Alligator mississippiensis: one gene and its partners. The protein of the gene in region 3 purifies or fractionates together with the protein of the main gene of each other region. This does not show direct contact. Links are inferred from orthologs where the notes say so. Each region holds a gene or a part of one and is shown on either strand. Other genes may lie near its edges. The genes, in order: SF3A3, CDC5L, FUS and SF3B3.

Region 1 (7,857 bases), on a different chromosome or scaffold from region 3:
CCGGACGCTCCCCTGCATGCGCCTCCCTCGCACACTCCCCGCGTGCTTCTGTCCTGCAGCCTTGGCCCACTGGTGCTGCGGGCCCCGCACAGTGTTATGCATGCAACTCGCTCCTCTACGGGCAGCCAGGGCCTGGCGGAGCCCCTCGGGCGACAGCTTGGACGCAGGCACGTTGGAGGCGGTGGGTGCTTTGCGTTCTGCCCCGGGGAGCTTCCCAGAGAAGCGCCCTGAGCCCAGCCTCCTCGCGTCTGTCTCTGTACGGCTTTGTGTAATAAACCTTTTTGGGACGACGTGCTCCGGGGGGTTTCTCTGGGCCGGGGGAGACGACGGTTGGGACGAATGCGGTCGAAAGGGGATGGGCCGGCTTGCATCTGCTGGACCACGCAGGGTTGCCGGTCCCCAGCAGCAGCCGGCGGCTTCGTCAGAGCTCGGTGACTCTCCGTGACGTTGGAGGTGCCGTCTCCCCATCGTGGCTCGCTCTGGGCCGCGGGGTCCCCACCTCCGGCCCCCACGGCGCGGCGACGCCGCTCTCCAGACAGAAGAAGCTGGGGGCTGCGCGGCACGAAGGACGCGGCCCTGCGCACCCTTGGCTCTGGCTCCGAGCAGCTTCGTGAGAGCATCGTGCTCCATTGGGACCTCCGTGCTCCTGCTGCCCCGTGACCCAAGCCGGGCTGTGGGTCCCCGGGGCTGCTGGCTCTTTGCTGGAGGCCGAACAGCCGCCGGCTCCAGCGCAGCCACTGGTTCGTGGCTCGGCCCACGCGCTGCAGCCTGCGCCGTTCCCAGGGCTTAACCGCAGCAGGCTTCCTGGCGAGAGGGCCCCCGGGCTCCTCTTCCAGCTGGGCTCCGGCGCCTCACGTTTTTCACCAAAAAAGGCAAGGGCCCAGCTGCACGTCGTGCGGGAACATCTGGATTTCATCCCTGTCAGGAGCGGGTCACGGGACGCGCCGCGCGGGGCTGGATTTACGGGAGGGGGCGGGGTGATGTCATGCACACGGGTCCCCCGAGAGCTGGCGGAAAACAGGAAAGGGGGAGAGAGGCAGCTGGGCAGGACGGGGAAAGAAGCCGCCCCTGCACCCCTCTCTCCCCCTGTGCAGCTCTTGGCCCCGGGGTGACGGGGTGTTCGAGGCCGGGCATGCCCCAGCTGGGCTTCCTGCACCCCTGCCGTGGGCCTGAGCCCTGGGGCAACTTGCCCTTCTCTTAGCACGTCCGTACGAGCATTGCTGGCCAGGAACCAGAGCTGCCGGGTTTCGCAACGGCTGGGGGCCATGCGCCAGCTCCAGACATCCCCACCTCCCGCTGCAGGACGGGGCAGACTGGCGACGGGAGGCTCGGTCCTTCTCCACGGGCTTTCCCTATGGTGGTGAAGCCCGGAGAGAGCCCCTCCACCAGCCAGAGCCGGCGGGGTGGGTGGGTGGGACGCGACTTGAGGTTCAGGTGTTCCCCTCTCCTGGGCTGGAGTCTCGGGCTGGGGGAACGGCGAGTCCGGGGTCTTATCTCCGGCTTTATTTTTAGCCAGGCGTTCATAGGGAAGAACCGAGGCGGCTCGTGGGAGAGCGATGGCACGCGATAGCCCCGGAGTGGGCAGCGTCCTCCCAGCGGAGCAGGGGAGCCCCGGGCAGGCCGTGCCCAGTCCACTTGCTGCTGCTGCTTTCATCAGCCTTAATTTAGCTGCCAGCAATGTCACGGCATGGCAGGAAAAGGCCGGATCCCTTGGGGCAGGGACTGCGTAACGAGAGGGGGGTGTTGACTGGATACCTCCACCCCCATCCCTGCAACGCTGGCCAAGCAGAAACCCCACAGCCAGCGCAGGGGGCCTGGATCTGAGCCGTTAGCAGCTGCTGGGGATGAAGGGAGCCGGGGCTGTCGCATGTGGTGGCACAAATGATTGTGCCCCCGGGGTGGACAGCTGCAACTGTGACCAGAGACTGGGAGCTGTCACATCCCGAGCAGGGGCCCTAGGCGTGTCCCTGCACCCCCAGCTGCGTGTGCCCTGAGGGACGTGGACCCACTGCGGGGATCCTCTGCAGGGGGGTGGGTGAGTCCTGCACTCATGGTGCGTGCAAGCGAGTGCTGGGAGAGAGAGGTGTGTGTGTGTGTGCAAACGTACACGTGTTTTGGCTGCACGGCACCCATGTTAGGAGTCGCTGCAATGCCCTGCTCCTCCCTGACCCCCTCTCTGCCCTTCCCAAACACCCTCTTGGCCCCTTCCCCTCCGGCAGGCACGTCCCGTGGCTGCTGTCCAGCTCCGCTCCGAGTCCGCGGCCGAGTTACCAGCCTCCCCCCTGTGACTCTGCCCTTCCCACTCCGTCTTTGTTCCTTGAGAAAGGTCGCTGTGCCTCCGCGCAGGTCACTCCTGCTCCTGCATCCAACTGGCAGCATCTCCCTGCCGCTTGTGCCACCATATATGGACAGTATTGGGGAGAGAACCATCCGCGTGGGGCTGCAGGCGGCTTGGCCGCCGGCCAGCGGGAGGGCTTCGCTCAGCTGAAACCCCTCCACGTGGCCGGGAGAGAGCGCGGCCCCCAGCTCCTGGCTGTGCACAGGGCAGGCGAGACCCCCAGTGGGGCAGGGCAGCGCCAGAGGGGCCCACACGGTGCTGGAGAATTGCAGCCCCCTGTTAACCTCCCTCCCACCCCAGCTCAGATGCCCCCGAGCTGAGCGGGGTGCAGCACATGCAGGTAGGTGGCTGCAAGGACTGGAGCAGACTCAGTCAGGAGGCAGAGCCCATCTCGGTGCATGGTGCTTGCTCGAGGTGGCTGGCACTGCTGGCGAAGCCCCTTGCTGTGGGCAGTGGGCCAGCCTATGTCAGCTTGCACCTGCATTCCCACGCTGCGCTGGGAACGGGGCCTGCTGGATTATCTGGTTCTGGGCTTGCCCCTTTCCTCCAGTTTTGCACAGTGCTGAGCAGTCAGTCTCCCCTGCAGCTGCTCTCTAACTTGCTCCCATTTCAGTCTCCCATTTCACTGGGAGTAGGGGAGCAGGACACCTGGGGAAGCCCAGAGGATAACAGCTGGCTGACCCGCCGGCCTGGGGCACATCCTCTTGCTGCTCCAGCTGGAGGGAGCCAGAGCTCAGCCCCACGAGGAGAGGGAAAGAAACGCCAAAGCCATCTCACCTTGAGAGCAGGGAGAGATTGATTGCAGGCTCTTTCCCAGGACAGCTCAAGCTTGCCATCTGCCGGAGGCAAAATAAACGCTTGTTCCTATTTCCCTATCCGCCAAAGGGGCGCGTGGCGCTCCCTTCCAGGGAAGAGCTGCCAGCTGATCATAAATGAGACGTCCCCACATTTCAAACGGCGTTGTTATTAAAGTTGTTGCAGCCACGATAGACAAGGAAATATATGAGAAGCATTTCTTTCTTTTTAAATAATACCTTTTATTGGACCAACTGTATTGTGGGGAGAGGCATGAGACCGCTTCAGGCACAAAGGGCCCTTCAAGCATCAACTGGAAATGCTGCCACGAAGGGCATGTTCCTAGCTGGCTCGTGCGCCTATCTTGCTGCAGCTGCTGCTGGGCTTCCCAGTGCCACCGCACGCACACGAGCTACTCGTCTACACGCGTGAGGCCATTCGAGCTCTCCCCGCTGCATGGGCACCGTCGACACCGCGACTCCTGACTGCCCTGCCGCTGCCGCAGCTTCCATCACCTCTTTGTGGGGTTTTCCAGTAAGCACCTTTGCACGTCAGTGCATCCCGCCGGCTACGCAGGGGCGGCGCTGCCCTGAACCATGCTGCGCCCGCAGAGCCCTGCTGAGCAGTGGCGCCGCACCGATCCTTCCAGCTCCCAGCGTCTGTTTGCTGCAGCTCCCTGCTCTCTCCCGTCTCTCATCGTAGCCTGGAAAATCCCTGGGGCAGAGCCTGGGCCCGTCCCTTCTCCAGCGCCGCTCACCCGAGCACGCGCGTCCAGGCCTGAACGTCCAGATTCAGCTTCAAATGCCGGGGGGGGGGGGGGGGGGGCACCACTGCTTTAAAAAAATATATATTATTTGTTTATGAATCCCAATGATCAAATAAGAGATTTCACGTTTCTAGATGCATCCAAGCTCCTAAAATGCACATAAGGAGAGGTGTTTATCGCCTCCGCGAGCGCTGCCGTCACCCGTCGGCACGTGCAGGCACCTTGGCTCGGCGTCCTTCGGTCTCTGCGAGTCGCTCCGTGGTTCCCGTCGCCAGGTCGCTCCTCTGCATCCTGCACCCCTCGTTATCGTTTGCTCCTCTTTTACATTTCACATTTCACACCGGGTTTCTCCGCTCGTGGGCCGGGCGTGTCGAGGCTCAGACAGGTTTCTCAGACGTCCTGGGCTGGAGCCGCGGTCTTTTTCTGCAAATTCCCCAAATTTTAACAAATTCCAAGAATCCCCCCCCCCGGTTTTGTAAGAGGGCCGGGCCGAGTCGTGGGCAGCGGTGGTGGCAGACGTCTCACCGCGCTGGACCCGTGCACTGAACCTACGCACACGCGCACACCCTTGCACGTGCTGACATATGTGCACACTCACACACATTCTGGCATTATGTGCACATGCTCATGCACACATGCTCACGTGTATGTGCACATGTGCCCACACGGGACTATGTGTGTGCATGTGTGTCCCACCCACACGCTCACGTGTGCACACCTGGCGGGTTTGGAGCCGAGCCCCTGCGGAGCGGGAGGGGGAGGGGGCTCTTTTTGCGGCGGAACCTTCGCGCCAGCAGCAGTTTCCGTCCGGACGCAATAGGACACCCCACGTGACTTCCGGCCGGCGCGCCGGAAGTGGGAGGAGGGCGGTAAACTCGGGGGCAGCAAGGAGGGAGGCGGAAGTGGCGTAACCGGCTTCCGGGCGGCAGGAGGGGAAAGCGGAAGTGGTCCGGGGCTGCTTCCGGGCGGCGGGCGGGAGGGCCAAGATGGAGACGATCCTGGAGCAGCAGCGGCGCTACCACGAGGAGAAGGAGCGGCTCATGGACGTCATGGTCAAGGAGATGCTCACCAAGAAGTCCACGGTGCGCCTGCGTGCGTGCGTGCGTCAAGGGGGGAGGGGGTCTGTGGATGGGGGGGTGTATAGTGTGCGTGTGTGTCAAGAGGGGGTCTGTGGATGGGGGGTGGTGTATAGTGTGCATGTGTGTGTGTGTGTGTCAAGGGTCTGGATGGGGGGTGTATGGTGTGTGTGTGTATAGCGTGTGTGTGTGTGTGTGTGTGTCAAGTGGGGGGGTCTGTGGATGGGGTGTGTGTGTAGTGTGCATGTATGTGTGTGTGTCAAGGGGGGGTCTGTGGATGGGGTGTGTGTGTAGCATGCGTGTGTCGGGGATGTCTGGATGGGCAGTGTGTGTGTATAGTGTGCATGTGTGTGCATCAAGTGGGGGGGTCTGGATGGGGTGTGGATGGTGTGTGTGCGTACGTGTGCTGTGTCAAAGGGGGTGTCTGGATGGGGGGGTGTATAGTGTACATGCGTGTGTGTCAAGCGGGGGGGTCTGGATGGGGGTGTGTGCGTGCGTGTGTGTCAAGGGGTGTGTGGATGGGGGTGTGCGCGTCAAGGGGGTGTGTCTGGATGGGGGTATGTGTGAGCGTGCGTGTGTATGTCAAGGGGGGGTCTGTGGATGGGGGTGTGCGCGTGTGTCTGTGGTGGGGTGTGTGTGTGTGTGTGTGTACACACCTCTCCGCCACGTCTCCCTGTGTGCGAGTGCACGCGCTGCCCAGCCGCGTCTCCTAGCTGGGAGTGAAGCCGCGCTAACATCTCTCCCTCCCTGTGTCTCTTTCTGTGCCGGGCTGCAGTTACGGGACCAGATTAACTCGGATCACCGCACGCGCGCGATGCAGGACGTGAGTACCGCCGCCGCCCCGTCCCGATGCCCGTGGGCCACCCTGGCCGGGGGGGAGGCGGGAGGGAGCGGGCACGGCGCAGCGCGGCGCGACAGGGACGTTGTGGGGATACTTGAGAAACGCCCCAGAGCGGGGCGCGGGACGCGCGGTAAAAGGGAGACGTCCCGCCATGCCTTGTGGGCAGCCCGTCGGAGTCCAGCGGCGCGCTGTTATACGACCGACCACGATGGCGCTTAAACACCCGGACATCTCTGTTTCTGAGTGTAAATGGAAAAGGGCTTGTGCTCTTCTTGCACGTGCTTTGTGTGACGCCCCAAGGTCTCTTCCCCTGCGTTCTCCTGAGGGTGCTTAAGCATTTTGTTGACCTGGGTTTGGGCAAATGGAGCGTGGGTTAGATGCGTTTACTTTGAGCCCCAGCACCTGTACGGCTGCTGTAAGTTTTGCATGGAATAGAATAGGACGGGAAGGGACCTGTAAGATCCTTGAGCCCGGTCCCCTGCCTTGGGCAGGAGGTAATCGGGCTCAAACAAGCTGAAGGAGATGCTGTTTACAGTTACATAAATATTACATTGTAGCCCCTTACTGATAAGCTGACTTCCACCGAAGAGCACAAAATGACTTGGAAACGTGATGCTGTTCCTGGAAACACCTTCAGCAGCTAAATGGACCAGTGTTGCTTTTATTGCTCGTTAATGAGCCTTTATTTGTTGGTACCAAAGGAGCAGCGGATAATTCTGTCTAATGAGAGCCCTCAAGGAAGCCTTTTCAGCTACTTTGTTGCGCGGTACTTTGTTGCAGAAGTGCAGGCAGAGCATTGACATGTAGTGTGCTCTTTTCTCAGAGGTACATGGAAGTGAGTGGCAATCTGAGAGATTTGTATGATGACAAAGATGGGTGAGTGTTTGCCAAAATGCCTTGTCTGACCTTTCCTAGAGCTGAAAGCTCTGCAGAATAAATTTCACTTTTGTGCTCTGCAAAGATCCCAAAGGAATTGATGGTATTGAAAGCCTACTTGGAACAAAAAGTGCCAGGGCTGTAGTGCATGTAAATCAGCGCACCTTTAGGGATTAAAAAAGAAGAGGTTTTGTTCTGCTTTTTCCTTCTTCTTTTCTCCATAATAAACTTAAGTTTCCTTCCTGGATTTTGACCTCGCTTGCCAAGACGGGAGGGAAACTTTTGTGTTGATTATATATCATTAACAGGGGATATCTTTGGGAATCCTAGAGCAATCTGATTAGTACCATAGAGCAGCATGTTGTTACGGAGGGCTGTTGAACACTGTCTGATCCAAAATGTTTCGTGGGGTGGGAGACAATTCAGCTGTAGCATACATTTTCTAAAGTGCCCTGTTGGAGAAGTAGTGGCTTGATGAGATTCAGTTAGTGAAGGTGCACAAAAGGTCAGGTTTATTTTGCTCTCCTGAGAAGTCAGTCAACCCCAAACAGAGAGAATTGTAGTCCAAAAGCCAACAAAGTGGTTATGTGTGGGTGCTAATAAAACTCTCCGGGTTCATTTTAAGACCTAGTATATTCAGGTTTTCCAGAAAATCATACACGCCAGTGGCATCTGACTTCTGTGTTTGAACGTTTTAAACCAATGCTCTGGGTTTACTGCCGAGCTGGGTTCTTTATCATGTGAAATGGATGTGTTTTTCTTGGACTAGACCCGAAGGCCCGTAACTGGGGAGCACCTTACCGCATTATAGGTGACCAGGAGAGCTGGACTCCCAAATCCAAACCTTTCCGAGTATGAGATCTCTGTGCAACTGTTAAGCGTATGAAATTTAGTTGAGGGCAGATGGCCGGTTTTGGGGGAATCTTTCGTGTAATTGTGAGATGAAAAGAAATGGGATCAGCTTTGTAGATGCTCCTTATCCTATCCTCTGTTGCCCTCTCATTTGATTCAACTTGTTTCTTGCGGAACCTCAGGTTACGGAAGGAGGAGCTCAGCGCCATTTCGGGGCCAAATGAGTTTGCAGAATTCTATAATCGGCTGAAGCAGATCAAAGAATTTCATCGGAAGCACCCAAACGAGGTCAGTGGCCCTGCGCTTTGTGTGG
Region 2 (7,631 bases), on a different chromosome or scaffold from region 3:
TAGTCCAATAATTTGCATTTTTAAACAAGTTATTTGCATACTGTGCAGTTATTGCTATCATCTGCAATTTGAATAGTTTTCTACTTTTGCTCATAGTCCTTTTAAAGAATAAGTCCTTGCAATACCTTCAGGAAACGTAACCAATTAAAAATTTTGAAACTATTTCTTCTTCCGCTAGACCTGAACCAATAGGAAACTCAACAGTGACCTTTTAAATTCATTAATGAATGATCTTTGTCTTTGAATGCCAGTAATGGCTTTTGTCTTCTCCACTTACCATCTGGCTTTGCACTGTTTTGCTGACTTTCTATGCAACAAAGAAGCAATCCGAGACCACTGGTTTTTGCCATATTTCATTACAGCTGCTTTAAGAATTTCATCCTTAAAAAGAGAAATAGTTGTTATTACTATGGGTCAGTAGTAAACTTTATCAGAGCCAAATGCTCACTTGCAACTCAACAGGGAAATGTAGACAAGGCTTCAGCAAGGGTTAACACCTGAAGGTAGATGTGATTAATGAAGTGAAAATAGTGACAGTCATTTATTCTGAGTATACAACAGCATTTGGGGAACAGTCAGTCTCACCATTTCTCCTGTATGGTTAATTTCCATTGTTTGTGTGGGTCTTTCAAGGAGCAAGAACATCCTATTTTTAAAAAATGCACACCCGTGTAAATATCATGAAAATCAGGGCAGGTATACAGCTAAAACTGACTACTTTTTTAAAGCAGTCTTTATTTCAAGATGATGGTGTCTTTATTTTTCAGGACTGTAGTACCTGACAGTTCAAGTCATGGGTCAGAACTCCACCATGCTAGATGCTGTACAAATGCAGAGCAAAACTAGAAGCTTCAGGGATGCAACACAAATTACACAAACTTATCCCAGCTTGCCTGCACCAGGTCTGTACTAGTAGAGCTAGTGGTTTACATGCTTATATTTGCCCCTTAGGCCTACAGTAAACTTTTGTTCTCCTATAAGTGATTTAGTAAGCTATGGGAGAGGCAAAGATTTTTTGGGGGTGATTCCTTTTACTGGACAGCTGAATAGTTGGGATAAAGTTAGACGAGCTTTCAAATGCTCAAAAGCTGAAAAGCTTGTTACCCCTTTTGAGACTTTCCTGGGGGCAGAAGACAATGCTTTCCTAAATAATTGAGTGGAAACCAGAAGTCTTATTTTGTGCAGCCAAAAGCACACAAGGGGGCCATAAAAAGTGCAGTCTATGAAGTGCTCCATCGCTATTTGCTACAGCTTTGACTAAGGATATGGTGGGGCAAAATGGAAGGGCATCCACTGTTGACAACAGACAGCTGGGGTCAACATATATTCAGCACCAGTTCAGCAGCTAATGGTGCCGATCGCAGGTAAATTTTCCTAACACCGAAAAGCCCTTCCAAAGTGCGCTCTGGCTTTAACGGGAGGCTGATGAGTTTTGGTGCAGGGTATTTCAGGAGAATATTAAGTATTTAATATGAAACATGCTCTACGTATTTACTTTCATAAGCCTCAGATTCCCTTTTCTTGGTAGTTTTTATTTCTTTGCTGGCAGTTGGTAACACAGGGCCCTTCTAGATATTGAGATAAAGGTGTGATGGGATCTGATGCATGATCCATACTATCATGCCTCCTGCCACACCAGACATACATGGCAGGAAGCATGATTGTGGCATTCAACATCAGATCCAATCATGCCTTACTGCTTATGCGGGGGGACCCTGAAATCACGATGCCCAACTTCTCCTGCACTGACAAGTGGCAAGCTCCTGTGGCAGTGACCCCTGCAGCTGACGGGGCTCACAGCTGTGACAATGCGTGGGACACTGCCATGACTGCAACTCCAGCAGCTGCAGGGCTTGCAGCGTGCATGGTGCACAGCTGAGCCCCGTCACAGGGGTGGCCACATGTTCAACTAATGGTGCGATAAGAACAAGCCACGAAGCAACGGCACATATTTTATAAAATAAATTTTATGACTTATTCCTCCTTTTACCACACCAGTAATTTATGAAGCATGTGGCCGGGTCACCACTTCAGACACGATTCCCTGGTCAATTGTGTCTTAAGGGTCATGTGTAGCGGGGGGGGGGGGGGGGGGAGGGGGCGGCCCATGGGTGCAATTAACTCTGTGACAGTGAAACAGTCACAGCGGTTTTTTATCGTGACAAATCATTTGCTTCATGTCAATCATCCAGTGATGAGATCTCCAAGCCTCTATGCCAGGGGTGGGCAGGATGCGGCCCGCCAGGACATTCTATCTGACCCGTGGCGGCCCTAAATAATTTAGAAAATTAATATTAATCTGCCTCTGGCTGCCTGTCATGCGGCCCTCGATGGCTTGCCAGAACTCAGTAAGCAGCCCTCTGCCCAAAGTAATTGCCCAGCCCTGCTCTATGCCCGTCTTGGGGGTGGGGGGAGGATCCCTGAAGATGAGAGATTATTTGTGCTTTGCCCCAAAATAAGCAGCACGAAGGCTGCTTAGGCAGGAGCTGAACCAGAGGACTTCTCTTTGCAGAGGGCTGCTTTGCAGCTTCTTACTCCATATACCACCACCCCAAAGGAGGGAGACTGAGAAGTTAAAAACAAAAACTCAAAGCGGGACTAAGAATCCCTTAATCTCCCACGTGAGCCCAAGAGACCTGAGCTGCGTTTGGCCACAAGGAAGGAAAGCAGCCCAGTACAAACACACAAAGCGCATGCGCACGTCTCCCAGCCTCCTCCCCCTATAAGTGCATGCGCAGGACTCCCGGGCCCTTTTCGGCGCATGCGCTCTCGTGTAGAAGCGCCGTCCGTTGACTGGCCCCGTGGGAATCGGGAGGGTACGGGAAGGGCCTACCTCGGTGTTCCTCCACACCCCGCCTTTAATCATAATCCGCGGCATCTTGGCGGCGAAGTGGAGCGGGCTTCGCAGCGGAGAAAACCGGGGCGGACGGGGGAGAGACGCCGCCGCCGCCGCCGCCTGTGCGCAGGCCGGGATAGGATTCTGCGCAGGCTCAGTGAGGGCAACCGAGTGTCAGAGCTCTGCGCATGCGCAGCGGAGAATGTCGGCCACCGTTCGCGCATGCGCGGGCGCAGAAGGCGGGGAGAGGGGCTGAGGCGCGGAGCGAATCTAGCGCCCCCTGGCGCGCGGAGGTGATGTTGGCGCGGGGATCGCTGAAGGGCCACGTGTGTCCGTGCTCTGCCCCGCAGGTGCTTGTGCTCGCTGGCGAGGCTCCCTTGAAACCCTCGCACAAGTGCAAGCCCCAGGGCCCGCGCCATACAGCTGCCCCTGCACTGGCACCAGTGCGTGTGGGTTTGGAGGCCTGGCAACTGTAGGGCTACTGCAGACCAGGGGCAGTATTTCTGGCTCCTTGCTGGGGTCGTGGGAGCGGTCAAGGAGCTTGCCCGAGATGAAGATCCTGCGTCTGAAACCCGCCCCCACTGAATGCCCCGTCTGCCTGCTGTGGAAACCCATCTTAAAAAGCGTGTTTGCAAGACAAGGGTCTTTGGGGAAATCTGGTATCAGATTTACCCCCCCGAAAAAACCTCATCTGCTTACATCCTTAGATCACCACGGCTACAACCTACACCGTTGCAAGACAACGGGTCTGTTCTGATCCACGAGAAACGTGCGGGTGCTGGTCGGGAATGTTCGCTTCGCCCGCGCTGACATCCTTGTTTGCAACGTACCTTTTCTATGCAAGATCATTTTGTGGAAGTCCTAGAGAAGCGGGGCTGGAAGGGACCTCCGGACGTCACCTAGTCCAATCCCCTGCCTGAGGCAGGATCGTCCCTATCCAAAGCTTCCTGCGCAAAGCCGTCATCTAAATAAACTTAGTACAATTACTGTCAATCCTGATGTGACACAAGATGTAACACCCTAACTTGCCAGAGGTGCAAGAATGCAATTTGGGACATTGGGCCAATGTCCTTTAATAAAAGGTTGTTAACATTTGCTCAAGACATCCCAGGGAGAGCCACATCCCCTGCTAGAGAACGGCAATCCCTCCGTCCCTCTCAGTCTATACCAATCTGACCTTGGGGTAAAATTCCTTCCTGACCTCAAATATGACCACTGGTCTGACCCTGAGCAGAGGGGCAAGACCAGGAACTTCTGGCTTTGGTCTCAGCAGAAACATTAGCACATCCCAGCCAAAATCCTCAGCCTTCCCTGTAGCCAACACCCAATGCCTTAGAGAGGCTTAAACACATCCTGACACGTGTAGCAGTAAGGAGGGGAGCAGATTAGGGGATTCTTAGTATTACTTTCGCCCCATTTCTACCTCTGTTGGGATAATCGCATCAAGTAAGCCACCCTAAGCAACCCCTGCCATTAGAAATCCCCTGGTTCAGCCCCTGCTTAAGCAATCTTGCCACTGCACATCCTGGACATGCAAATAATGTCTACTATTGTATCTACTATTGTCTACTAATGTCTACTATTGTATCCAGAGTAAAGGGCCCAGTGGTTGGTCCCTCAAGCTGTATTTCTATTAGGAAATGAAATAGCCACTGCTTTGCTGAGCAGCCTTTGTACACTCAGTTTTAGAGGGACAGTTAAAAAAACCCCTGATAAAATGAAGTAGCTTGAAATCAGTTTGTGATCACTGCAGCACAGAAGCATTTTGAAAAATTTCAGGGTATTCCAAGATACTGCTTTACAATGGTTATTAAAATCTTACAATTATTACAGTATTCATTGCATTTTGAAGAAGCCATATTAATCTGTTTATAAAGGCAAAGCTGTAAATACTTCAATGGCTAACACTGCATTTTACCAACTTTTGAGCTAAGGTTATTTTAACACATTTAAGACTTTAATAGTGGAAATGTACATCAAAACCATGTACATTATCTGAACACAATTCTATACAAACTGATGAATAGAGATGCAGCACGTTTCCATTATTTATCTTTTCCATATGGGTAGCAGAGAGTTTTTCAAATGATATGGGCAGCAATGCAGAACATGAACTTAAGTGTATTTTTCAGAAACAGCAGTCCACGTTTATAACAGATGCAGGAATCAACTTAGTCACCTCTTCTAAAATAATTTACTTTATTTGATATAAAATCCTACATAAACAAAACTCTTCATGGGTTATGAATTTTAGTAAAAAACAAGGTACATGGGAAACAAGCAGTGCTAAGAAAAGTCTCCTTTAAATAACTATTAGCTAAAATAATAAGAAAAAATTAAAAGACCCATACTTTTTCTATGAAATGTTTATGACCCTGGAGAAGATTTTCTGGACTGGGCTGCACAATAACTAGGATAAAAGTGGTGGGCTCGGCTGGAGCCAACCACGCTTTGTAACTTGCACTTCCAACTTTTTTGGTTGCAAACAAGTTTGGTATTTATCCAGAAATGAGTTTTGAGGATGCTCAGCATCTCACAAAATTAGGCCACTAAAACGGTGGCATGCAAAATATAGACGATTATTTCTGTCAGGCTGCCTGAAAAGTAAATAAGCATCAAAAGATGCATTCACATCAGCAATTCTCAACCAGAGTGCTACGAGACACCCGCAGGAGCGCTGCGATGCCACACATTGTACTCTTGCATTAGAGTTCCCTGATAACCCTAAAGCAGGCAGGAGCTGGCTCAGGCTGTAGGTCTTCCCAGTCTGTCCCCGTTCCCACTCGACCTGGAAACAGAGGCATGAGAAAGAGGCGCACAGGTGTAACTGTTCCCGGGACTGCCAGACTGGGAAGGGCTATAGGAGGAGGTAGCTCCTGCCTGCTTTAGGTTAATGAGAGAGCCCTACACAGGAGGATCACACACAAGTGCCACGGCCATTCCCAGTCTGGCTGTGCAGCAGGTAAGTAGGGCAGTTTTATCTGGAGGCAGCAACAGCCGGTTGACAAGCACTGAGGTAAGCTGAGCCAGCAACAACAGTGGTTCTCAACTGGGAATGTTGCCACATTCAAAAAAGCAGTGGAGGGTGACTCTGGAAAGTCTTTCATTTCTCCTCTCCAAGACTGAAAAGGCAAGATGTCAACGTGGATCAGTGGCTAGTAGTCTATTGACTGGAATGCGTTTACACGTACCCTTTAACCCGCATTGTACATCTCTAAATTGGTGATTGCAATGACCTGGTTCCATAAGTTATTTTCTTAAGTCCGTCCTCTGGACACTGGTATAGAAAACCCCCAGAACAGGGATTGCAACATACAGCAAATGGGAGGAGGGATCCATTTTCAACTAATTTTTCACACAACTCTGCAATTTTTAGTTTGCAAGTTGCTGATGTGCTAGAAAGAATTGGATTAAAAATTATTTCACTTAAATATGTTTTGTCTGCACATCTCAATCATGTGGTACAGAAAAGATCAGCCTACTATAAAGGTGGGGCCTGTACTGAAAATAAGTACAGGAACTCAAATAGCACCTCACATCCTTGCTCACAAGGCAATGGTAGGTGGTGCAAAAGTGTGTTTATCAATCAGGTAGGCACTTACAGAACAACTCTTTCCTATACCAACCCTGGCCTAGATTTTCACCCTTTTCTTAAACTACATTGGGCTTTTAACAGCTTTGAGTCTTTTTAACACAGCACATGATGGAACTTAAATTGAAAATGTACATGTGTTTTACGCCCGCTTTATGCATAATCCCTTAATTTCCATTCAGTGTACTATAGCCCAGATCCCATGGATGCTTCCACAATTTTTACCATGGCAACTTTAAAATTGATGACAGTTGGCATAGTGGATGCAGGGCAAAGAACATGTTTGAAATACTGTGAACTTCCTGGAGCTTATAACCCCAAATTTTAATGAATCCTATTTTACTGTCTAGTCTTCAAACACTGCTGATTGATGGTTCTATACAAAACTGAGGATGGAAAGCATTATATTGAACTTCAGGTATCTGCAGGTTTATCCTTGTGCACTTTTATGTGCTTCTTCAAAGCATATTTATCCCTAGTGGAAAACTCACAGGAATTGCAGTGTAACTTCAAATGAGTCAGCAAGTGGCGCTTGAGGTGGCTCGATGTGCGGAAAGCAAGAGCACACTGGTTGCACGTGTACGGCCTTTCACCTGTATGAATTCGCAAGTGTTGCTTCAGGTTTCCACTGTGAGCAGTGGCATAGCCACACTCTTGACACCTGTAGGTTTTGACAGACAATGGTGATTGCTCTTGGAGCTTGGTACCATCTATATGTGTAACCAGATGCTGCTTGAGGGTTTGCCATTTGTCTGTTGAATAGTCACAGGTTTTACATTTGAAGAGCTCCGTGTTGAAATGCAGGAGCTTGTGTCGATTTAGGTGACTTGTGGTACGAAACTTCTTCTCACAAATATCACAGGCGTGGGGTTTTTCACCTGTGTGAATCATGACGTGGAGCTTAAGGTTACTTAAAATGTATGTCGTGTAATTGCATTCTGCACACTTGTAGTATTGGGCTTGACTTTGTGATGGCAGAGCATTTTTGCTTTCTTTGCCCCTGTAAAGATCCATCGGTTTCTCAAAGCTTTCTGGGCTGAACATGGAATGGACACGCTCCAAGTCTTCCACAGAACTAAGATCATTTCTTCTTAGAGTTGTGCCCTGAGTTTTACACTGCTTTTTAATACGTTTTGAACTGTTCCCTAAATACAGGTAAGAATCATCATATTTACGACATTCCTGTAAGTGCATGTAGCTATG
Region 3 (7,776 bases):
CCATTAGTTTTGAGTACATAATGTTCTCTCCCCGCTGCTTTTCCCTGTAAGTGGGGGCATGTCCACCTGCCTTTGGCCTGCTCAATTTAAAGGGAAAGGAACCTTTTGGGTTTTGTCCCCTTTTCCACAGCGTGGGCATGTGCCACATCAGAGGGTGCGTGATAGGCGGCTAAATACGGTATGTTGCAGTGATCAGGTTCTGTTCATCCAAGATGCAGGCTGGATTTAGCCCCCTCCCCTGATCTGTCTCCGTAACCTCATTGGCCTGCTTGCTACCTCATTTTCCACTGGTAGGATGTCAATTACCTTATTTATTGGCATATAACTCTCACCTGCCCCCCCCCCACTGAAAATGGGGGTCTCCAGCTGGCTCGGGACAGTACGATTTAAAGGGGAAAATCATTTTGATTAGTCTTCCCCAAATGGCGGGGCGGGTTTCATCTGAGAGCGGTGGTAGTCGCACGAATACGGTGCGCTGGGAGCAAGTTACGTCAGCGTCCTGTACGCAGGCCGAGGTCACCACTGGGAAGTGGGCAAGTGAAAGGTCTCCTCCCCTCGTTAACCTCACCCCCGCGGCTGCTGCTTTGCATCACGCTCATATAGTGCCCGTTACTGTATTAATGCCTATTATCACAGTAATTGGTACGCATGCTCACATTTTTCTCTTTACCCTCTGCCTGGTCTCTCTCGTTTACCTCCTTGGTCCTGAAGCCTGGTCCAGCTGCTGCTCTGTTACGCCGCTACCATGGCAGTGCCCGTGTTTATTGGGGTACAATGTCACTTACCACACTTACTGGTATACAACATTCCCTTTTTTATCCCTTTCTAGGACTGTCTCGTCTCCCTCCTCCCCCTCATTGGTTTGAACCGCCTAAATCCTGGTCTGGCTGCTACTTTTTGTTACACTCATGTAATGCCAGTTACCAAATGTATTGGTGTATAATGTCGGCTACCGTATTTATTAGTATACAACATGCTTTCCCCCCACTCATGACTCTCATTTCCCTTATTCATGCCACCATTGGCTTGAATGGCCTTACTCCTGGTCTGGCTGCTGCTTTGTGTTATGCTCAGATAATGCCAGTTACTGTATTTATTGGTATACAACACTCACTTTTTTCCTCCCTCTCTACAACTGTCACGTCTCCCTCATTCATCTCCTTGTTTAAATGTTCTAGATGCTTTGATTTTTGTTGTTGATTTTTCTTTTGGGGGGGGTGTTAATCGGTGTCTGAATATGTTTCCTCTGGCTCTGGCTCTGGCTCTGGCTCTGGTTCTTCTGGGCTTCCGCCCTCCTCTTCCTCCGGGTCCGGGGCTGTGTCTGCTTCCCCCTCAGCCCCTTCCCCTTCCTCCTGGGGATCCCCCTCATTGTCTTCCTCCCCCTCCTTGTCTCTTGGCGTTTCTTCTTCCTGCTCTCCTGCTCCTGCAGCTGGTTCGGGGTGGACACAGTCCCTCTCCTGGCGCTCAGAGAATCGCGATGGCTGCGCGTCTCGTTCGGGGTTGTAGAAATCTAGCCAGGCAGGGAGAAACGCAATTAATTAATTAAAAAGCAGAGGAGGGAACAGAATAACGGGAACAATGAGCTGTGTTTTACTGTGTTTTCTAGTGCACAACCCGCCTATTTTTCTCCCCACTATACCACAACGCTAATCTCCCATCTCCGTTTCCTTTTGCTTTGCGTGCTGGTCTTGGCACGTTGATGAGGGGACAGATATTCTGCCACTTCCCCATCCAGTCGAGGGAGAGGAGCTTGGTGGTTCCTGGGTAGAGCTTTTTATAAAGAAAACCAAAGCAAAGAAGAAATGTAGGTGGTTTGGAGGTGGCGGGGAGGTTAAACATGGCAACAGGGGTGGTGCGAGCTCAAATCCAAGCCTACGCTGTGCTGTGTTGCATGCAGGAAAACATGGTGAAGGGGCACAGCTTACCGTAGAGCGAGGGCCGGGGAAGCGGCGGGTGCAGCAAGGCCTGAACGGAGCCTGGGAAGAGGGCGTCCACCTGCTCCAGGAGGGCCCGGCAAGCCGCCTCCCCCTTCTTCTGAATGCAAATGAGCAGCTTCCTGACCTTGGGCCCTGCCCCCGGCGTCTGGTTGAGGGCGTCGTATTCGTCCTCACTGAGGAGCGACTGGGCCACCAGCTCGTCCAGGGTGTTCTCGGGATCGCGCCCGATGATGTCCACGAGCTCCTGGCGGTGGTCGCGGACGGCGGCGTAGCTGCTGCCAGCCGCCATTGCCGGGCTCTGCCGTAGCTTCTAGCGTACGACGCGTCTCCCCTTTAAATCACGCATGTGGCTCATTTGGGAAGAGGCAGAAAAAAGAGTTCCCACCCCCCAGCACCTCTGAGCCCAACCATTCAGCCTTTTCCTTTCAGCCGTGCCCCTCCCAAAAGCGGCAAGGGGAGGCACCTTACTTACTCACCTACCACGCGCCTCTTTCCCCCCAAAACTCAGGGAATGGAGCTGGAAATGGATGCTGGAGAGTGCAGTGACATGGGAAACTTCCCCCCACCCTCCTTTCCCAATGAAGATGTGGGCTGCAGTGACAGGCATGTGATACATGAATAAATATGATCGTTTGCTGTCCGTGTCTCCCCTTTTTTAAGCGGTTTAGAAGTTGTATCCGAAGCCAAAGAAATACGATGGGTGAATTAGTCAGGCCTGTATTCTTCCAAAGGCTGGAGGGCCGTAGCCACCCCTACTTCGGCATGCTCTAGCTTCTGTATTTTCTAGCGCACAACAGGCCCCTTTGCTCGCCTCTGGGAGACAGGTGTGCATTACACGTCAGAAAATACGGTAACGCCCAGGCTGCACTGCAGGGATCAAGGCAGGAGAGTTTCTCTGTGGGGCAAAAAAATCAGCTTTCCTGCTTGATATGCACCCTCCAAACTTGTGGGGGCTGAGTTGGGGGCAGGGATCGCATGTTATATGCATGAAAATGCGGTAATAACACAGCTGCCGCAATGGGGATGACAGCAAGGGGGCTTCCCTCTGGGGCAAGAAACCAGATTCCCCCCTCGTGCACCCCGCCTCAAAATATGGGGGGGCAGGCACGTGCACGCTATACATGGGAAAATATGGTAATGCCAGAGCTGTTGCCTTATGGGAGGTGGTTCAAAGCAGCAGCTGGTCCTTGCCCTGGGGCAATACCCAGCTGCCCCCTACCCCAAATGTGGGGGGTGATTTCTGGGAGGGGGCAATAGCAGCACGGGCTAGGTTTCTACTGTATCTTCCCGCATAAAAGTGCCCTCTCCCTGGTTCCTTGTAGGCCTGATCCCTGGGGGGGGGGTCAGTTTCTCCCCATCAGCTGGGCGGGGGTGGGGGGAAGGAGGAGTCCCCCGTGCCCCTATTTCCCCTGCCCCATCCCCCCCCATCAGGCCAAGGGGGTGATGGGAAGAAGGCCCAACCTGCAGCTGAGTCACGCAGGCAGCGCAGCGCAGCGCAGCGCGTCCCGTCCCCTGTGCCCCCCGCCTGTCCCGTCCTGGGGGAGGCGCCGGGCTGGCCCATGTGGGGGGCGGGGGGGGTGCACTATTTGTGTCCTGGAGAAGCTGAAGGGGAGGGGGGAGCGGTTACCATACTTGCTTGTGTATAATACTCCCCTTGATGACAAAATAATCTGCTGCCTTGCAGAAGGGCCTCACAGCAGATGAGCGTGGCATGGAGAGGCACCCCCCCCCCGGGCTCCCCCCCTACGCTCCACACAACCCCGCCCAAGCCCAGGCGTCCAGGCTGCCCGCCCCACTGTCCGGGAGATGGGGGGTAGGTGGGGGGGGATGTGGGGGGTGGCAAGGACCATTGGGCTCCCTGTTGCCAAGGCAACGGCCCAGCTGGTTTAAGCCGGTCCAGACTGGTGAGCCTGGTGTTCCAGGGGAGGAAACCATTGAGCAGGCGTGCGGGGGGGACGGACAGCAAGGCCTGTGGGCCCAGAGCGCGACCCAGGCGTCCAGGCCACCCACCCACGCGCGTGCACACACACCTCCGGTGTCGTGGCATCGCACACACACACAGATCCCAGGCGTATAACCTGTGTGCATGTACATGCATGCGTGCACGCACAAAACCCAGGTGTCCGGGCCGTGTGCGTGCATGCACCCACACCCACACACAGCCCCCCCCCGAACTTGCAAAACAATTCCTCTTTCGCGTACACACACGTGTGCATGCACAAACAAGAGTCCCCAGGTATCCAGGACACACACACACACACCCCCCAGGCATCCAACACGCGCACGCACACACACCCTGTCCACAAAGGCCCCATCTCTCTCACCCCCTTCCGCATCCTGCACAACCCCCTTTCCACCCGTACCCCCCATTGCACACCCAAGTACACACACCAATTACACCCCCACTGTGCATCCATTTACACTGCTGCACACCCACTCGTATATACCAGTTCACACCCCAGCGCACACACCATTTACACCCCCATTGCAAGCCCCCAGCCAGCTGCAGCTTACACCCCCCCACTTCTCCCACATGGTTCCTTCCCCCCTCCCCCCCACCGCCATGAGCTCATCCCTCCCCCCCACCGCAGCCCCGCGGACTGTACCATTCCTCCTCCCGCGGGGAGGGGCAGGAAGAGCAGCACCCTCCCCTTTCAGAGCACGACAGCAACACCGGGGAGGGGGGCAATCCGCACGCGGGGGGGGGGAGCGAGGGCTCAGGGGAAATGGGGCGGGGGGAGACGAAGCTGTGCTGCGCTCCCCCCTTTCTGCGGATGGTAGCGGCCGGGGGCGGGGCGGGACGGGGCGGGTATATCAAGGCCGGGGGCGGGGGCGGGCGCGCAGTGCGGTGCGGGGCAGCGCGGAGGGAGGACATGGCGTCTAACGGTGAGGGCTAGGCTGCTTTTCGGGGTGCAACGTAGGCGCTGCAATTAAGTCATACAATGGTGGGGAGGCCACGGGGGTGGCAGTGACGTCGTGCAGTGCTCGGGGCTACGCATGGACTGTAATGTGAGGACTTCCGGGGGGCAGCGAGGTCGCGTGCTGGCTTAAGAGGGCAATCGTGCAGTGGCGATAGCGGGGGCCGCGGTTACGTCATGCGAGGGGTTGGTGGGGGGTGAGGGACGTCCAGGGGAGCTCTAGGGGGTGGAGTGATGTCACGAGTCGGGGCATGTCGTGACCTCATGTAGGGGGCGGGGGGGCCCCTGGGGTGCACTTACCTCACGGAGCAGGGGTGGGTTGGGATGACGTCACAACGGGCGGGGGGGCCTGCCACGACGTCATACAAAGGGTTGGGGGTACCTCGGCAAGCCCACCGGAGCGCGACCTGGCGCAAAGCTTTGTGGGGGTGCAAGCTAGTGTTCCTCCGTTTCTGGCCCCCGGCCGTGCTGGAGGAAAGCCAGCGCCCGCCATTTTCCGGGCGGGCGGGGCCCGGCGGTTCCCTTTATCCAGCTGCGCCATTGGGCACCATTTTGTGTGCCAAGATGGCGGCGGCCGCCGTCCCCGCGTGGGCCGGAGGGAGCCGGCTGCGCATGCGCGCCGGAGGGGGGCGCGGGATTTGCGTGGTGGCGCCTGCGCAGTGCGGGAGCGTCCGGGGCGGGCCGGCGTGTGCGCAACGGGCCGCTGCGGCGCCCTGGGGTTAGTGCGCATGCGCAGTCGCGGCAACTCCGACCGCTCTTGCTTCCCCCCCACGTGCGTCCCTGGGCGGAAGGACACCCGCGCGCGTCCGCGGATGCTGCGGGGGAGGGGGGAGCAGGCACAGCCGTGAATCCCAGGGTTGTCTCGGTACCGTAGCAAGTGCTGCCTTCCTGCCTTCCTTGGGGTGACATGACTCCTGCTACCCCCCTCCCCCGCTACAGGCACTGTCCCTTGTGCCGGGGTGTGGGGCCGCCATGCCCACACTGACGGGGGGGGGCGAGCTTAGGCTTTGGGGTCCTAACGGTTTCTCTCGCTTTTCTCCCCGTCTTGCAGATTATTCCCAGCCGGCGACACAGAGGTAATGGCACCCCCCCCCCCCCCGCCGGCCCTCGTGGCAAGCCTGGGCGCAGGCCCTCGCCTTCCCTGTCCACCCAGTGCCCCATTTCCCAGTCAGACCAGTGGGCCTGTTCTCTTAGTGTCTGGTTTTCCCAGTCCCATCAGAGTTGCATCCTATCCAGCGTCCCATCTTCCCAGTCAAACCGGTGGCCAGTCCTGTCTTATGTCCTGGCCGAACAGGGCATCCCGTCCTGGGTGTCGCCCTCCCAGTCCAACTCGCCCCTGTGTCCCCCCAGTCCAGCCAGTGGCCCGTCTCCTCCTGTACCCCCCCCCCCCCCCCCGGTCCAGCCAGTGGCCCGTCTCCCCCCCCCCCCCCCCCCCCCCGGTCCAACCAGCAGGCCCACTTCTGGCGGGTGCCCGCACCCAGGGGCTAGGAGGATCTCACGTCCCCGGGCGTCCTCTCTTGCAGCTACGGGGCCTACCCCACTCCGCCGGGGCAGGGCTACTCGCAGCAGGCCAGCCAGCCCTACAGCCAGCAGAGCTACAGCGGGTACGGGCAGTCGGGGGACACCTCGGGCTACGGCCAGAACAGCTACAGCTCCTCCTACGGCCAGACGCAGAGCAGTACGTCTTCGTGTGCCGCCCCCTCCCCCACAGCCTGCCTACCTCCTACGTTCACTTTCCAGCCCTGCCTTGCACATTTGCTGTATTCTCTTTTTCCCAGCCTGCCTTGTATATACATCTCCCTTCCTGGCCTGCCTATATCTACATGTTCCCCTCCCCCCAGCTGCCCTGAGCTCATGCGTGGATGCATGCATGAGATATGTACACATGTGAATGCACATGTGGGTATTACGTATGGACATACGCGTGCCTGTTTCAGCTGGTCCGTAAGGTTCAACTCTTCTTTTTTAATTTATTCTCCTCTGCGGCAAGAGAGGCTCACCTCAGCCACGGCAGAGCAGCAGCTCTCTGGTTTTGCTCCTTTGGCAAGTCACCCCCAGCTTTGTTTTTTGGCAGCGTTTGATCTCGCTTGTGGCAGCCTCGTTAAAGCATCAGGTCTACATCCTCCTTGCCGGTGGCGCTCTCCTGAATGCTTCTTGAGCAGCTTCTGTCTATTAAATTGGCTCTCATAATTTTTGTCTTACGCGTTGGGGAAACTGAGGTGTAAAGGAGTGCCAGTCCATAAGGGCAGCAGATATTGGGGTGGGCGGTTTGTTCACTTTTGGGGTACAGGTGTTGAAAGAGGTCTGTGTTCTCCCCCTGCCAGGTTATAGTACTCCGTCAACGCCACAAGGCTACGGGACGTCAACAGGGTACGGGAGCAGCCAGACATCACAGAGCTCCTATGGGCAGCCGTCCTCCTACCCTGGCTACTCGCAGCAGCCAGCAGCCAGCTCTTCCAGTGGAAGGTATCTGTGGGAAACCCAGGCCCCTTGCTCTCACCAGCACCCGCTCACCTCCCCTCCTGGAGAGCCAGGTGTCTGGGTCCCCAATTCCCTGTAATCTAGCCCAGCAGCACGCGGTCCTTGCCTAGAGAACCTCATCCTGCAGCTGTCACTGCATCTCGGGCTCCTCCCAGGGTTTCTTAGCTCTGAACACTACACCCCCTCGCATCCCCTCCCAGAAAACCCAGGTGTCCAGGCTCCCATTCCCCTCTGTTCTCACCTACGAGACCATGTGCAATTTGCAGAGAACTTGGGCATCTGGGTCCCCAGTCCCTGTGTGCCCCCCTCCCAGGCCAGGAACCCAAGTGTCTCTCAGATCCCCTGCCTACAGCCCCATGTCTTTTCCCTCTTGCCCCAGCTATGGCAGCAGCTCCCAGAGCAGCGGTTATGGGCAGCCCCAGAGCGGCGGCAGCAGCAGT
Region 4 (7,661 bases), on a different chromosome or scaffold from region 3:
TAGTAATAAGATCCTTTCTTAACACTCTCTTTGGATCCAAGTTATCCAACCCTGTTGTGTGTCATAACCTCTAAAAGCAAGAGCCCACAATTTACCTGACTAAACAGCCACACCATCAATACCAATGCAAGGATTTTACCTACCCTCCTTGCCCTGTCGACTGAGCTCAATGACTGACTTGTCCAGAGACAAGTAGCGATGGATATGAGCTGCTGCTTGCTCATAATCTTCATTTCGCAGAGCTGTTTGAACCCATCCATGCAGAACTTCAGGTCCAAGATGTCATCAGCTCTCTGGATGGCCTGATAGAGGCGGTTCTGCAAGAATAGCAGTTGAGATTTCCTTCACCTAGCTGGACTAGAAAAGAGAGCTATACAGAAAAGACAATATAGCCAAAGGGAAAGAAAAATGTGACCCATGGAGTAAGGGGTTACGATCACCTTGTCCCAGACAGGACTTCAAGGTCAGCAGGGTGCTGGGTGAGTAACTTGGCGTCCCTAGGTAGCTGATGACTTGAAAAAATCATGAGAATCCCAAAATTAGGTTGGAACCCAAAAAGGTACAGCATATAGAACCAGACTATAGGTCTCGCCTTTATTAGGAAAGAATAGCCTACAGAAATCACAGGGGCTACTCCGCACACTGAAATCTGCAGTCTCGTTTTACAAAGCTCCACTCCGTCTAGTTACCTTGGCAAGATCAAGCTGTCGGACTTTGCTGCTGACATTCTCAGCCAGATTCCAGGTGAAAGTGATCATCCCCGCCAACTGCCTGGCATCCCCCTCAATCAGTTGCAGGTTGGGGCTGGAAACACACATGCAGATAACAGGTGATACACAAGAAAAGCAGATCTGAAGCAGCAAGGCGTTATACGTAATCCCCCATCTTGTGCCTGCCAGCACCAGTCTTTTAACTCCTGTCAAAGAACATGACAGTGGCATGAGTTGAAAGTCAGATCCAAGAGTCTTATCTGGAAGATAGCAGCACCAAAGGGCCTATCTACCTAACATCTCTCTTACTAGCAATAAAGAGGTGAAAGGAAATACAGTAAAAGCTGTTATCCGGCATCCCCCAGGAATGCCAGGGTTAATCAAATATTCCAGTTAATCAAATGTGCACCATCTGGTGCACTCCCTGGGGTCAGTGTGCGGGGGGGGGGGGGGGGGGGGGGGGGGGGGGGGGGGGAAGGAGCGGGCCGGGCAGGCTGCTTTGCCCTGGGCCGTGTGCCAAAGAAGAGGCAAAGAAAACTCAGCTCAGGGCAGTGAAATGGGAAGTCCCCCAGAAGTGGAACTTCCAGTTTCACTTTTGCCACATCCCTTGGATGCCGGTTAATAGAGTTTTCCAGCTAATAAACTGCCGGTTAACACAGCTTTTGCTGTAGATGTATAAGTTTGTCCTTTTTTAGGGCAGGAAGTGTCATTTTGTGCTCTAGAATCCAAGCTTTTATTAAATATAAAGCTCCAAGCCTTATGATTGTAGAAATAACCTATGCATTGAACTCTGCAAATAGATTCATTTGTATATATCCAAATCTACAGACAACCTGAAACAACATATTTGAAGAGGCGCATTGTTCATATTCAGAGATGTTAGTGCTAAAGCCTAATACCAACAATACCCACTGGGAATGACAGCTCATTTTTTGACATTGTAGGAGAGCTGCAAGTATCATTACCTTCATTTATCACAGTGACTCAAAGAAAAGATTATTCTATGGCATCTTTCATGTCAAAGCACTCTTTAAAGGGAAACAGATTTACTCAGTAGTGAAAAAAAAAACAAAACACCAGCATTTGTGGTATAATGAAGCAGCTGTTGAACAACATAGGGTAACAGCATACAATAATTTAAAACTAGAAGGAAAAAATACATATGCATTTGAATCTAGGCCTTTTTCCCCCCAAGCAACCCTCCAAAATACAAAACAACTGAAGAAAAATAAAAAGCAGGGTATTGTCACTGAAGGACTGATGTGTTTACTAACCCCATGCGATGAAGAGCAACCATCTTGTTCTCTATGGTACCCTGTTGTTCCAACAGGGCCTCCAGCTCTTCTTCCACCACTTTCTGAAAAAGAAAGTGGTCCTATGTCACTTTATGACACTTTCTGGCCAATCACTAATGTCACTAGCTTAGAAGCAAACCCTCAACATCAATGTAGGAGTACACACCAAGGAGGGCTTCTGAAAACTCAGCTAATAACACAGTCTGTCAAAAGCCCCAGTGTTCCATCTTAATCTGGTTACATTTACACTCCAGTCTAATTTCAAGGGTCAGTTTTGAAACCTCTATCATGCAATGTTAAAATAAATCCATTCCTACATTGCCTCTCCATACCGAAGATGTTCCTGGCTTAACTGTCTATAAGAAAAGATCAGAGTACAATAGTATGCTCCAAAGTTAAAAAAAAATGTGAATGTTGCATAGGCAGGATAGTCAGTCTGTCAAGGTTGAGGGCAGGAAGCCTGTAAACCTCTGTACCAATCTCTTATGGCCAGCTAATGAAGCTCTAGCAGAGACATCTAACTTTTCTTGTTAGATGCTTTGCCATTATGACACAGGGAAGGGGAGGAGAGGGGTACTCCACCTTTTGGCCCCCCAGGCCAGATGAGTGACCCCACCCTCATGCCCCACATGCTGGGACTGGGTCCTGAGAGGCCAGTGCTGTCCCCTTTCACCTCCTGCACACTGGGATCGAGTCTCAGGGGGCTGGCACAATCCCCTGCATACCAGGATTGGGTCCTGGGAGCCCAGCACTGTTCCCTCCCACACCCATGAGCCAGGATTGAGTCCTGTTGGCCCAGCACCACCCTGTCCAAGCCCCCCACACTGGGATTAGACCCTGGGACTGGCACACCCTCTGGCCTGCTATGTGTGCTGGGATCAGGCACTGGATCTAGCACACAGGGCCTGGGGCTCTTCGTGGCTCCAAAAATGTGGCTGCAGGGGAGTGGTACCAGCATTCCCCTACCACCAAGTTTCCAGACCTGTGGGGAGCCCCAGAGACCAAATGACATAGTGCCATGGGCCACATCTGGCCCACACTCTTTCTTTATGTTATCTCACCAAGTTATACCCAAATGCTTTTCTGAACCAGGAAATGGATGGAATTGTGGTCCTCCCTATATTCTAACACACAAGAACAGTCCTGGTAAGTTGTTTTACTTCCGTTTGTTTTCACAAGCAAAACAGGTGGTCTTGTTTTCACAGGAGGACAAAACTGGATTTGCACTGAGTGAGGCATCAGCTTGCTTGTTTGTACTGAAAAACCATAAATGTGGTGAGGGTCTCTTTCTGATGTCTCTTCTTTCCCCTGTATGTTGGGCTTTTTTTCCCTCCAAAACCTTCACTCCAAGAGTTGTTTGCATACAAGGCTTAATGGCAAGTAACAGCAATTAATTTAAATTAACCCTGGCTGGTCCAAGAGTGGAAACAGATGCCATCTGATTTCCCATTTGTATCACCTTCAAATTTTTTAAGGCAGTATAAATGCAGAATAGACATCCTTGCCCTTTTTTGCACCACCTAATAAGAGAATCAGTGACACAACAAAAGGGAGTAACAGACTCTGCTGCTTCATTGCGGTGGGCACCTCTTACCTTGTGGCACTTACCTTGCTTGGGGCTGACTGGCCAGGGAAAGCCTCTCCTTTCCCCACTGCCCCAGACCTGCACTGTGGGTTTGGGGCAGCAGGGAAAAGTGCTTCCCTGCATAACCAGACCCTGAGGTTAACTGAGCTGGGGAAATCCCAGCTTTCTCTGCTGCTCCACACCCATTCAGTGGGTCTGGGGCAGCAGGAAGTGCTTCTAGTCAGCCAGCCCTGACAGGCCCTTCAGAGCTGTCTGGACAGGGGAAGACCTGGCACTGCTGCTGCTCTAGACTCACGCTGAGCAACGCAATGCGGGTTTTGCCCAATGAAGTGAACGGTGACTAAGCTGTGTGGCACAGCTGAATCACTCCACTCTGCCACTTCTAATTCCAGCCCAAGACAAGGGGTTCATTTGGATGCTTCGCACAGGCTGTAAGGTCTGGGGTCTGCTACAAGATGAGCTAAACCCAAACAGACCAAACCTGGCATCTATTTTTAACCAAAGGTTTAAAACAAATTCTGCCGGGACAAAGTCTTGTATCCCAGGACCCTGCACATGAACAAGTCCATGTCCCACTGAGAGTGCCCGCAAAGCTCCAAGATAACGCTTCTACTCCCAGGACAATTGGAGCTAAATTGGCTAAAATCAGATGGCTGCTGGCTGAGCGTGGCGGCCTCCCGGGGCCCTAGGAACGGACCAGCTCGCTGTCCCGCACGAAGCACGGGCGCAGGATCCGACCGGACGCTTCGCCTCGCGGCTGGAACCGAGCGCGCTGCGTCCGAGCTGCCCCGCGCCCGCCGGGGGCGACCCCAGCCCGGCACCAGCTTCCAGCCCAGTTTCAGGAGAAGCCCAAACGGGGCGGCGCAGAAGGCGCAGCCGGCCCGGCCCCACCTCCTCTGCGCACAGGCGGCCATAGGCGGCCTCCAGCTCCCGCAGGTCGGTAAGCGCCCGGATCCGCTCCATGGACAAGCACGAGCTGCCGCCGTCCGCGCCCGGCGCCCTCAGGGCCCCGCCAGCAGCCGCAGCCATCCTTGCCCAGGGACGTCACTTCCGAGAAATCAAAAGCCCCAGCGGGGTCTGAGCGGTCGTTGGGGCTGCTGCCCAAGGTGCCTGAGGGACACGCAGCCTTCTCAGGTTTGGCTTGGCCGAGCGAGCGTCCCCAGGCAGGAGCGGGGGGGGGGAGACGTCGTGGTTGCGGCGGGGTCAGAGCCGGGCGGAAGATGCCCACGGGGTCCTTTCATCGGTGAGGTCAGGCGATCCGAGGGCAGCCCCGTGTCGCTCGCGTCGGGTGAGGAAGGCCCCGGCGGGGGGCGGGGCGGCAGAGCGCGCGCACAGGGCTCATGGCGCAGCGGCTCTGCGGGCTCGCGGCCTAGGGGAGACGCGCGGCCGCCATCTGTTGCCATCCGCCCGGTAGGAGCCGCCGCTTGCCGCCATCTCGCGTCAGGCCGGGCAGCGCGGGCCGGGCTCGGTTTCGGTACTGTTTCCTCCTGCGCCGGCATCAGCGAAGGCTGCGGCGCGGCCTGGGCGGGAAGGGGCGGCGGGGTTGCCTTCTCCGGCCTGGCGGCCCCCGGACGCCTTAACTGCGCTCCGCTGGGGCTGCCCTGATCCCGCCGCGCCTCTGCGCCCTTCGTGCGGCTCCGGGACCCTCCCCCGCGTGCGGGTCGCGGCCTCCGCGTGCCCCGGCGCCGCGTTCCCAGGGAGGAGGTGCGCGGCTTAGTAGAGACCTGTTCCGAGGCCGGCTCCTCTGATCCCACGGAGGATTTTAGGGGCGCAGTTGCGTAGGCAGTTTTTGGGGGCCGCTGTCACTGTCGTACCAGTCTCTGGGGGAAGCATCTGCTCGGGCAGGGAGGTTTCACTGCTTGTGGGGAAGTGTGGCTGAGGGCTCGGGAGGGGGGGAAACATGTCCAGGGCAGCCTAGAAATCTTTCTCCACTTTTTTTCCATATAATCTTATTAAGGGCATTGTGTGACACAGACAATGGACCTGCAGACTGAAGTGGACCTGCTTTATTTGTTTGGTGTTGTCCTCTTTGTTCCTCAGCTTCTGAGCATGTCTTTCATACAGGGTTTCCCTGATTCCATTGTTTAATTGCCAGCCACACCTTTCATTGCACTGCTTCAGGCTCTGAAGAGTAGGCAGAATGAAGTACTTCAAGCTATGGTTTGTAGTGTTGTAATCCCCTTCCCCCCCCTCCCATTTTAATTAAGAGCAAACTTTACTAGTGAGCACAGCAGTTTGCCTGTTCATGGAGGAGGAGGAGGTTGTGCTGTATTGCTGGCTCTGTCCTGGGTTGTAATCCGCAACTCATCCCTCTTGTACAGGCAAGGCTATTAACGTTGATGAGACTAAAAGTGAAACCTTGCTTTATTATTCCTTCTTGTCAGCTCTTTCAGATAAATTACTGCAAAGTAAGAGCTCACTTTGTCACTAACCTTCTGGGTTAAACCCTCACAAGTAGGGCTAAATGGAATTAAAGTAAACAGGGATCCAGGACTGATAAACCATTATAACACTGTTTGGAAGACCATAGCAGCAGACCATCATAGCCTATGCAGTATGGGCTTGTTGCACACATTCATGTGCCTGCAAAACCTGATACCTTGACTCTATCATAAAAGTGAAATGAAAATTGCATCTATACAAAAAATGACTTTAAGCATGTATTTCTATGTTAAATTAGAACATTTAGCATGAACCCTTGTATATGGCTGTAAGGGATGGAAATATGTAAAGCTGACATGCATTGTTCATTTACAAATGAATTAAATAACATTTTTCAGAAGCATTGTAAGACATTCGTGCAGACTTAGCAGACAAGATTAAGCTGCTGGCACTTTTCTGTTATATTGAAATAATGTGAAAGTAAGCACTAAATAGATGCAACCTGTTTTGCAATTGGATGTATTCCTGATTTCTAGCTATTTTGTTTATTTGCAGTGGACTCCATAATAAAGCTGAAACATACGCAGTGAAGTAGATTTATCGCCACCATGTTTCTTTACAACTTAACCTTGCAGCGAGCCACTGGCATCAGCTATGCCATCCATGGTAATTTTTCAGGTAATGTCTGTTGTCCTGACTGTCTTTTTGTTACAAGTTACTTAAATATAACATTAGTTTTTCACTGACGTTTTGCTCTTGTGCTATTAGCTGGGTTGACTGACATGTTCAAATTGAGGGAGAGATCTGGTCTTGAGAACTTCCAGGAACTTTAGTAATTCGAGGCCTTGTCTTCACTGACTTGGGTGGCTTTAGTTAAGTCACTTTGCTCTTTGTGCCTCAGTGTTCCTGTCTGTAGAATAGACAGCCAAACACTGAAATATCTGGTCATTAATGATTCTAAGTGGCTTTGACTTTCTCTCCTATAAAGTATCAGGTTTGTAACAGTATTAGTATTGTAACATTGGTCTTGTCCTTGCTTGATTCTTCCACTTGCTTATGTTGATTATTGATTTTTCTCATGGCTTTGGCTTCTTAGGAACAAAGCAACAGGAAATAGTTGTTTCACGAGGGAAGATCCTGGAATTGCTCCGCCCTGATCCTAACACAGGGAAGGTTCATACCTTGCTGACTGTGGAAGTGTTTGGAGTCATTCGTTCCCTCATGGCCTTCAGGCTGACAGGTGGAACCAAAGACTACATTGTGGTTGGCAGTGATTCAGGGCGCATTGTTATCCTAGAGTACCAACCCTCCAAGAATGTGTTTGAAAAGATCCATCAGGAAACCTTTGGCAAAAGTGGCTGTCGCAGAATTGTTCCTGGTCAATACTTGGCTGTGGATCCCAAGGGTCGTGCTGTTATGATTAGTAAGTCAATCTAGGGATCTGGTTGCAGCATTTTAAAGGATTGAATGGTGGAAACAACATCCTTGAAATTATTAACTTGTGTTGTCCTTACCTCAAGGAAGATAGCTTTTGCACCATACTTTGTCAGCTGCAGCAGCAAGTATGCCTTGCAGGCAGTTTTCTAGATTTCCAAATTTTGCCATCAAAGATCCAGATGTTTAGAATTGTTCCTGCCTGTAACCATGATTGCACAAATGAATTCTAAAATTAGGCCAATAAGATTTTGA

The links.
Region 1: the proteins of FUS (region 3) and SF3A3 purify together in Homo sapiens (affinity purification with mass spectrometry; 3 studies listed by BioGRID and IntAct, with this or other methods). This does not show direct contact. The link is inferred for Alligator mississippiensis from reciprocal best matches to the Homo sapiens genes FUS and SF3A3.
Region 2: the proteins of FUS (region 3) and CDC5L purify together in Homo sapiens (affinity purification with mass spectrometry; 4 studies listed by BioGRID and IntAct, with this or other methods). This does not show direct contact. The link is inferred for Alligator mississippiensis from reciprocal best matches to the Homo sapiens genes FUS and CDC5L.
Region 4: the proteins of FUS (region 3) and SF3B3 purify together in Homo sapiens (affinity purification with mass spectrometry; 3 studies listed by BioGRID and IntAct, with this or other methods). This does not show direct contact. The link is inferred for Alligator mississippiensis from reciprocal best matches to the Homo sapiens genes FUS and SF3B3.

Annotation. Positions count from the first base shown.
Region 1 is NC_081829.1:1,211,996-1,219,852, reverse strand, and holds the start of SF3A3 (splicing factor 3A subunit 3), read left to right. Parts: upstream 1-4,856; 5' UTR 4,857-4,885; coding exon 4,886-4,981; intron 4,982-5,750; coding exon 5,751-5,798; intron 5,799-6,639; coding exon 6,640-6,692; intron 6,693-7,726; coding exon 7,727-7,832; intron 7,833-7,857. UniProt on the Homo sapiens protein: Component of the 17S U2 SnRNP complex of the spliceosome, a large ribonucleoprotein complex that removes introns from transcribed pre-mRNAs.
Region 2 is NC_081824.1:11,837,502-11,845,132, reverse strand, and holds the start of CDC5L (cell division cycle 5-like protein), read right to left. Parts: upstream 3,001-7,631; 5' UTR 2,879-3,000; coding exon 2,834-2,878; intron 382-2,833; coding exon 278-381; intron 1-277. Other genes in the region: zinc finger protein 107, read right to left, coding at 6,843-7,631.
Region 3 is NC_081830.1:432,206-439,981, reverse strand, and holds the start of FUS (RNA-binding protein FUS), read left to right. Parts: upstream 1-4,770; 5' UTR 4,771-4,810; coding exon 4,811-4,823; intron 4,824-5,155; exon of another isoform or gene 5,156-5,523; intron 5,524-5,906; coding exon 5,907-5,931; intron 5,932-6,378; coding exon 6,379-6,533; intron 6,534-7,179; coding exon 7,180-7,321; intron 7,322-7,715; coding exon 7,716-7,776. Other genes in the region: nucleolar protein 3, read right to left, coding at 1,221-1,510, 1,926-2,226. UniProt on the Homo sapiens protein: DNA/RNA-binding protein that plays a role in various cellular processes such as transcription regulation, RNA splicing, RNA transport, DNA repair and damage response. Binds to ssRNA containing the consensus sequence 5'-AGGUAA-3'.
Region 4 is NC_081833.1:36,190,256-36,197,916, forward strand, and holds the start of SF3B3 (splicing factor 3B subunit 3), read left to right. Parts: upstream 1-4,648; 5' UTR 4,649-4,724; intron 4,725-4,891; exon of another isoform or gene 4,892-5,000; intron 5,001-5,045; exon of another isoform or gene 5,046-5,064; intron 5,065-5,659; exon of another isoform or gene 5,660-5,750; intron 5,751-6,527; 5' UTR 6,528-6,580; coding exon 6,581-6,650; intron 6,651-7,068; coding exon 7,069-7,395; intron 7,396-7,661. UniProt on the Homo sapiens protein: Component of the 17S U2 SnRNP complex of the spliceosome, a large ribonucleoprotein complex that removes introns from transcribed pre-mRNAs.